Macaca mulatta: one gene and its partner. The protein of the gene in region 1 interacts with the protein of each later gene in a biochemical or structural test. Links are inferred from orthologs where the notes say so. Each region holds a gene or a part of one and is shown on either strand. Other genes may lie near its edges.

Region 1 (4,043 bases):
AAAGCGAGAACGAGGCTTCGCCGCACCTGCCGCAATGCCCAATCTTCCACTGGCATTCCAGGCAGCGCTTTCCAGCCACGTGAGGGATACCTAACCACTGGAACTAAATAAGATGTGGGGGAAGAATTGAGGTCATCACCTAAATTGCTTGATACTCTCTTTTCCAGAAGACAAGCCTCCTTTCTGAGTTAATGGCAGAAAGTGAATCACTTCTTTCTTTCTTTTCTTTTTCTTTAAGACGGTGTTTCGCTCTTGTCGCCCAGGCTGTAGTGCGATGCCGCGATCTTGGCTCACCGCAACCTCCGCTTCCCGGGTTAGAGCGATTCTCCTGCCTCAGCCTCCAGAGTAGCTGGGATTACAGGCATGGGCCACCACGCCCAGCTAATTTTGTATTTTTAGTAGAGACGGGGTTTCTCCATGTTGGTCAGGCTGGTCTCGAACTCCTAACTTCAGGTGATCCCCCTGCCTCGGCCTCCCAAAGTGCTGGGATTACAGGCATGAGCCACCGCGTCCGGCTAGAAAGTGAATCATTTCTGTATTTGATTGTACGTGAAGCCCTCCGTAGTCCTGACTGACATCACGTCTCCTTTGGACCTTGATTACACTCCGCGTCCTTCATCTGACTCCTCTCTTCAGATTCCTGAGTCACGCTCTGTTTATGTTGCTGTTCAGGAGCGAACTGCGGCGCGGCCCAAACACTGTGACGCCAGCGCGGGAGGAGGGCCGCGGGAGGGGCAGCGGAAAGCGCAGAGGGCACGGTGCAAGCACGGGACAGCTCTGCATTGGCCAAAGGGATCCCAGGAGGCCTGGGCCTCTTTTCCCCTGAGGCTGGATCCCAACCAGCAGGAAAAGGATTTTCGCCTTTTGTATTTGTTTTGGGGCCAAACCAAGAAAAACAGTGGAGGGGGAATAAAACATGTTTAAAATTGTTTTTGTCTTAAAACCGTCTTTCACAGTCACAAAATAAAACACAACTAGAATGTTTTGATGTTTGCAATGACATCGATTTTGAAAAACGTTAGCCAGAAAGGAAACGCAGTTAAGACAGCACTCGGCCGCCCCCTGCCCTCGGCGCCTGGGGGGCGGGGCGGGGCGCGCAGGGTGACGTCACAGCCCGACGCGCCACCCAACTGTTTTTGTGCTCCCAGCTCCAGCGAAAAGCCGCCGGTGTTTCTCCACCTGGCTCTCCTCTATCTCCGGGCAGGCTCACCCGAGATCCCCCCCACACCGAACCCCCTCTGCACGCTCGGCCCAGCGCTGTTGCCCCGGGAGCGGACGTTTCTGTAGCTATTTGAGCACACCTTGACGTCGGCGGAGGGAGCTGGACAGGGCCAGCAGCGAAGGAGGCAGGCCCCGCGCGGGGAATCTCGGAAGCCCTGCGGTGCATCATGAAGTTCCAGTACAAGGAGGACCATCCCTTTGAGTATCGGAAAAAGGAAGGAGAAAAGATCCGGAAGAAATATCCGGACAGGGTCCCCGTGAGTGTAGAGGAGCGGGGGGATGGGAGGGGAAGGGCCCGCGGGGGCGGGGGCTGGGAGTCGAGATGGCTTCCCTGGGGCGCCCAGGCGACTCTGGGGAAGGGAGGTGCCGATAATTAGTTAATCCTGAACGCCCTTCAGTGCCCGAGCCAATGGACGTCCAGACTGCGGAGCTTTTAAAACCACATATGCCTGGGGCCTGAACCCCACTTCAGGGCTGACGGTGTTTTTGGGGCCGAGCTGCCATCTTCAGTGACTCAGCAACCCACACGGTCTCAGCAATACTGAGACCCTGTGTGGGTTGAGGTGCGCAAAATAGCGCCCCTGTGTGCGAGAGTGGTTAGATCAGGGCCGTGGATTGGCTCCCTTTAAGAACGCGGGGACACTGTGCTGTGCGGTGAGGTTTGCGCAAACCCGGTCGATTTCTGCCTTGGCTGGTTCTCCTTTAATGAAGTTGACTTTGGCTGTCATATCATTGGGCTTGGGAGGAAAAGGTTCAGAAGCTATTCGGTTCTTTTCTTGCATGACAGGGGGGTAGGGGAGCACAAGACAGTCCGGGCCTGAAAAACAAGGTCACGTTCTCTGCGCAACAGCCCTCTTGCCTCATCGTTCTAGGCTCCGGGAAATGTGTAGGGACAGCCAGCCTCCCCCGGTATTGATTTCTGATCACCTGGCACCTGCACGCGATAAGGCAGGACTGAGACGTTTTTTCTGTGTTTTGGACACCGGCTTAAGTAGTTAAAACTAGCGCAGGTAGTGAGTAGGAACAGAGAAGAAACATTAGGTGTCTTTCAGCATCCGGGCGTTTTCCCCATTACCCCCTCCCCCGTCCCTTGCCTGGTGTTTCTCTAATGTGGGCTGCGCAGCCGAATTGGAGGGCAGAGTATGACTTTTAAGTGGTAAAGGGACCAGCAGCTGTTGGATTTTGGAAATGGAGGAGCAGAGATTTTTAAAATTGTGCTCTTTATCTTCAGGTAGGAACATCAGGATTACATGTCACATCATGGTAAAATAATTGCTGTTATCTGATGTCTTATCTTGATTCGCAGCCACTCTGGGTTTCTTCTCTAATCCTTACCTAACGTTCGTGGTTTTATAGCTACCAGAAGCCAGCAGGGCCTTAGCCCAGCAGTAGAAACCTCTTGTACCCCTTTTCCTTTAAAAAAAAAAAAAAAGTCATTAGGGCTCTTCCATTCCTCAGGAATTACCAAAGGGTTTTCAGTTTATAGAGGGGTGAGCTAATCCCTTACTCGGTAAAGGATCCTTTACAAAATACTTTGCTGGTTTCTGGACCTTGGATACCTGAAAATTTTGCCGAGTTCTGGTGATACCAATCTTTAGAGCAATGATATTTAAAAAATACAGTCATATTTTACTAATAGTTTACAGTAGCAGTATAAGTACTCAGTCTGTAATCATTCGCTTAATCTTTACACGATTATAATCCCCGTTCTACAGACGGAGTATTCAAAGCACAAAGAAATGCGGTAACTTCCTAAAGGTTTCACATTGCTGATCTGTGTTTGAGCCGGAATTCTAACCCTGTCTGACGGACTGTGGAGCTCTCGGAGACCTTAACCTCCGTGTCATACTGTTTCTCAGTTTCTAATATAGTTGTTATTAACCAGAATTAATGACGTGCTGTGGACTTCACACTGTTAAGTATTGGAAATAGATAAATACTTATGTGTATTCTGAATATTTCAGTGCATTCTGTTCTTTTCATGCTCATAGTTTGGTGTTAAATGTTTTACTCCTGTGATAATTTTTAAGCCATTAAGACTGTCACTCAGATTTCAGCTTCCCTAGGGTTATGTTTTAACCAGCGCTGAGCTGCTCCCAAGGTGCTCAGTCTGTGACCTTCTTTCTAGTTATGACGCAGGTTCCTTGATTTGGTTCTAGTTCTGGGAATTCACTGCATCCTTGGGCAGAACTTTTAATCTTGCTGTGCTAGATAGAGTGCCTTGTTTACAGAAAAGAGGGTTAGAGTAGTGGTTCCTAAAGCCCATTCCAGCTTGACCATTGGTGTTATTCAAGCAGTGGTGTATCCTGACTGCTCGCATAACCAGAGTTTAGTCCCACCAATATTTCTTCAGAGCTAACAGTTGAAGAGGTATGCTTGTGCCTTCAGAGAGGAGGGGTTGGTGGGATCTTGAAATTATCTTCAAAGACACAACATATCAAAAAGACTGCTAGAAACAGATTGTCTATTTTAAAAATTCATAGCTCTATTGAGTATTAGTCACATTTTACAAATGAGGAAAACTGAGACCCAAAGAGGCAAAGCATCTAGCCCAGGGTCTACCATAGTGAGGAGTAGAGTTGGGATTCCTGGAAATTTAACCTTGGTTCTGGGAAACCAATCCTTTAATAATTACCCCTCCCCCTTTTCTTCCTCTCCAAACCCCTGCCTTCCCTCCAGGTATTGCGGTCTGCTTTATCACTTTCTTTTTCTGTCTTCCTTTGTGGTTTTTCTCTCTTACTGCTAGGTCTCAGAGTTCCTTTGGGGCACAGTGCTAGCCTCTTTCTGCCTTTTCCTTTTAATTCCTGGCTTACATTACCCTA
Region 2 (4,110 bases), on another chromosome or scaffold:
GGAAGACAGTGGCAGGGTTTCACAGGAGGTGAGTCCAAAGCGGAAACGTGTTAGGTGTTCTCAGTGACTTCTAATGTCTGAACTACATGGGTAAGTAAAGGTTGAGTGAATGACTAAAAATAAAGTCAGTTCTGATGGAGCAGCAACTTCATACAAGCAAGGGGAGAAATGCTTGAGCCTCTGGGTCTAAAAGGATGCTAAATTACCAACCAGGCCTCTGGCTTCCCTTGTGTTTTGGGGTGAGGACCCCTAAAGCATGTCTCTTCTTTTATGTAAAAAAGGGAAAGGGGTACTGAATATTGGAGAGACCAAGTGGGAAAAGTGGCTAGAGAGGACTTCAGATTTTGAAATGCAGATATGGAAGGAAAGTCTCAAAGTAAGGTGATTGGAGGTGGTTTCCTTTTAGTCATGGCAAGTAAGGACAGGCAATTGTGAAAAAACCAGGGATCTAATTCCAGCAACAGCCAACCAATCCTACAAACCCTGAGTTAATTTTTGGTATCAGGGAGAGGCATAGTGAGTAAAAAATAAAAATAAAAAAAATTCATTTCTACTGGATGCATACACTAATACAAGGTGTTAATAATAATAAGGGAACTGTGAAGTGGGGAGAGATATATGGAAGTTCCCTGTCCCTGCTGCTCAATTTGTCTGTAAACCTAAAAATAAAATCTAATTTACACACACACACACACACACACACACACACACACACACACACCCCTAAAAAGGGATCTCTGCTGCAATTTGCAAGGTTTTCTGTTTTCGGGGGCTGTTTTTTGTTTTCCTACAGGCTCATAATTTCAAATTAGTGATGCTTCCTTTTTTTCTATATATATAAAGGCTGGAAGAAAACTTGTCGAACCTTTATATTCTAAGAACTGAGTAATTATTCTACAAACCAACAAATATTAACAGCGTCCTATAACCAACTCATTTAATCTTCACACAATCCTATGAAATACTACTGTTCACATTTTACAAAAGAAGAAACAATTCAAAGAGACAAGTCGAACAATACATACTAGAACGAGGCGACTACTGTGGATTCCAAAACCAAAGTTCCAAACCACAAAATCGAATCTAGGAAAACTGGCGCTCTCGAGTGTCGTCAGTTAAAAAACAAGGAACACCACAGAAGGATCGCGATATTACACAAACTACTACTCCCAACATGCAAAGCGGATTCTTTCCCTCGGTATCGGCCTGGGAGTCCGAGAGGCCCAGCAGCCCTCGGGGCGCGAAAGGCAACCTGGGAGCGGTAGTTCTCCTGGGCCCTAGTATTGTCGCCCACGCGGCAGTAGCGGCTTCTACGGCTCCAAGCCAGCGGGTCCTGTGAAGGCGAGCAGACGCGGAGAAAGGACGCGGGAGTGAGAGAGGGTGAGTCAGCTACTGTCTAAACGATAAAGGGAGGCGGCTCCGCAGGGTAGGGCGGAATTCAGTAAATGGGCTCGTGCTGCGGTCTCTTGGGAGACGCTGCTATCTTAGCGTCAGCGAGGGAAGGTTGAGGAGGAGCCAGAGCCGGGTCCTGCAGCCTTTCTCGCCATCAGCGCCCGTCGCCATCTCCACCATGCAGTCCCGGGAAGACGCCCCGCGCTCTCGCCGCCTCGCCAGTCCCCGTGGTGGGAAGCGGCCCAAGAAGATTCACAAACCCACGGTTTCGGCCTTTTTCACGGGTCCAGAGGAATTAAAGGACACGGCCCATTCTGCAGCCCTGCTGGCACAGCTCAAGTCCTTCTACGATGCGCGGCAGCTGTGTGATGTGACCATCGAGGTGGTGACGCCTGGCAGCGGGCCTGGCACGGGTCGCCTCTTCCCCTGCAACCGCAATGTGCTGGCCGCCGCGTGTCCCTACTTCAAGAGCATGTTCACAGGTGGCATGTACGAGAGCCAGCAGACTAGCGTGACCATGCACGATGTGGACGCCGAGTCCTTCGAGGTGTTGGTCGACTACTGCTACACGGGTCGTGTGTCTCTCAGCGAGGCCAACGTGGAGCGCCTGTACGCGGCCTCCGACATGCTGCAACTGGAGTATGTGCGGGAAGCCTGTGCCTCCTTCTTAGCCCGACGTCTTGACCTGACCAACTGCACTGCCATCCTCAAGTTTGCAGACGCCTTTGGCCATCGCAAGCTGCGATCCCAGGCCCAGTCCTATATAGCTCAGAACTTCAAGCAGCTCAGCCACATGGGTTCAATTCGGGAGGAGACTCTAGCAGATCTGACCCTGGCCCAGCTGCTGGCTGTCCTGCGCTTGGATAGTCTGGACGTGGAGAGTGAGCAGACAGTGTGCCACGTGGCAGTGCAGTGGCTGGAGGCTGCTCCCAAAGAGCGGGGTCCCAGTGCTGCGGAAGTCTTCAAGTGCGTGCGCTGGATGCACTTCACTGAAGAAGATCAGGACTACTTAGAAGGGCTGCTGACCAAGCCCATCGTGAAGAAGTACTGCCTGGACGTTATTGAAGGGGCCCTGCAGATGCGCTATGGTGACCTGTTGTACAAGTCTCTGGTGCCAGTGCCAAACAGCAGCAGCAGCAGTAGCAGCAGCAACTCTCTTGTATCTGCAGCAGAAAATCCACCCCAGAGACTGGGTATGTGTGCCAAGGAGATGGTGATCTTCTTTGGACACCCCAGAGATCCCTTTCTCTGCTGTGATCCATACTCGGGGGACCTTTACAAAGTGCCGTCACCTTTGACCTGTCTGGCTCACACTAGGACTGTCACCACCTTAGCTGTCTGTATCTCTCCTGACCATGACATCTATCTAGCTGCCCAGCCCAGGACAGACCTCTGGGTGTATAAACCAGCTCAGAACAGTTGGCAGCAACTTGCAGATCGCTTGCTGTGTCGTGAGGGCATGGATGTGGCATATCTCAATGGCTACATCTACATTTTGGGGGGGCGAGACCCTATTACTGGAGTTAAGTTGAAGGAAGTGGAATGCTACAATGTTAAGAGAAACCAGTGGGCATTGGTGGCTCCACTGCCCCATTCTTTTTTATCCTTTGACCTAATGGTAATTCGGGACTATCTCTATGCTCTCAACAGTAAGCGCATGTTCTGTTATGATCCTAGCCATAATATGTGGTTGAAGTGCGTTTCTCTGAAGCGCAATGACTTTCAGGAAGCGTGCGTCTTCAATGAGGAGATTTACTGTATCTGTGACATCCCAGTCATGAAGGTCTACAACCCAGTTAGGGCAGAATGGAGGCAAATGAATAATATTCCCTTGGTCTCAGAGACCAACAACTACCGGATTATCAAGCATGGCCAAAAATTGTTGCTCATCACCTCTCGCACCCCACAATGGAAAAAGAACCGGGTGACTGTGTATGAATATGATATTAGGGGAGACCAATGGATTAATATAGGTACCACATTAGGCCTCTTGCAGTTTGATTCTAACTTTTTTTGCCTCTCTGCTCGTGTTTATCCTTCCTGCCTTGAACCTGGTCAGAGTTTTCTCACTGAAGAAGAAGAAATACCAAGTGAGTCTAGCACTGAATGGGACTTAGGTGGATTCAGTGAGCCAGACTCTGAGTCAGGAAGTTCAAGTTCTCTTTCTGATGATGATTTTTGGGTGCGTGTAGCGCCTCAGTGAAATGCACAGGATAAGCAGGGTTTGTTGTAACTGAATTGAAACACTAAGTTGTTTTTACTGTTTTGGAAAATATCTTAAATATCCTTTTTGTTCCTAAAGGAAAGGAAAAGTTGATTAGCTGCTGGTTTGGTTTAGAAAAAGTAATATTTGAAATACGAAGGTAATTTAATATTACAAATGTTAACACTCAGATCAACCTTTTAATAATTTTCTGTGCTAAGGGTCCAGTATTTATTTGATTATTTAGTATGTTTATGTTTCATGACACTAATTTAGTCTTTTGATAAATTTTACATTCTGTTTACTGCCACAAGCACTGTGGCAGTAACTTTTGAATTTTAATGTTTATGATAGAAAAATGATTAGGAATTGCTAGATAGTGTTTTGAAAGCTTATCTTTTTCTTCGGAACAATGTAGATTTCCAAAATGGTTAACCTAAGGGGTCTTTGCAAAATGTGTTATAAGTTAAACATAATTTGGGAAGTTTTACTTTTGTTTTCTTCTATGAAGAAAA

The links.
Region 2: the proteins of GABARAPL1 (region 1) and KBTBD6 form a complex in vitro, tested with the Homo sapiens proteins (2 studies listed by BioGRID and IntAct, with this or other methods). The link is inferred for Macaca mulatta from reciprocal best matches to the Homo sapiens genes GABARAPL1 and KBTBD6.

What each region holds. Positions count from the first base shown.
Region 1 is NC_133416.1:10,339,699-10,343,741, reverse strand, and holds the start of GABARAPL1 (gamma-aminobutyric acid receptor-associated protein-like 1), read left to right. Parts: upstream 1-1,194; 5' UTR 1,195-1,388; coding exon 1,389-1,478; intron 1,479-4,043. UniProt on the Homo sapiens protein: Ubiquitin-like modifier that increases cell-surface expression of kappa-type opioid receptor through facilitating anterograde intracellular trafficking of the receptor. Involved in formation of autophagosomal vacuoles.
Region 2 is NC_133422.1:20,543,769-20,547,878, reverse strand, and holds the start of KBTBD6 (kelch repeat and BTB domain-containing protein 6), read left to right. Parts: upstream 1-1,304; 5' UTR 1,305-1,570; coding exon 1,571-3,595; 3' UTR 3,596-4,110. UniProt on the Homo sapiens protein: As part of the CUL3(KBTBD6/7) E3 ubiquitin ligase complex functions as a substrate adapter for the RAC1 guanine exchange factor (GEF) TIAM1, mediating its 'Lys-48' ubiquitination and proteasomal degradation.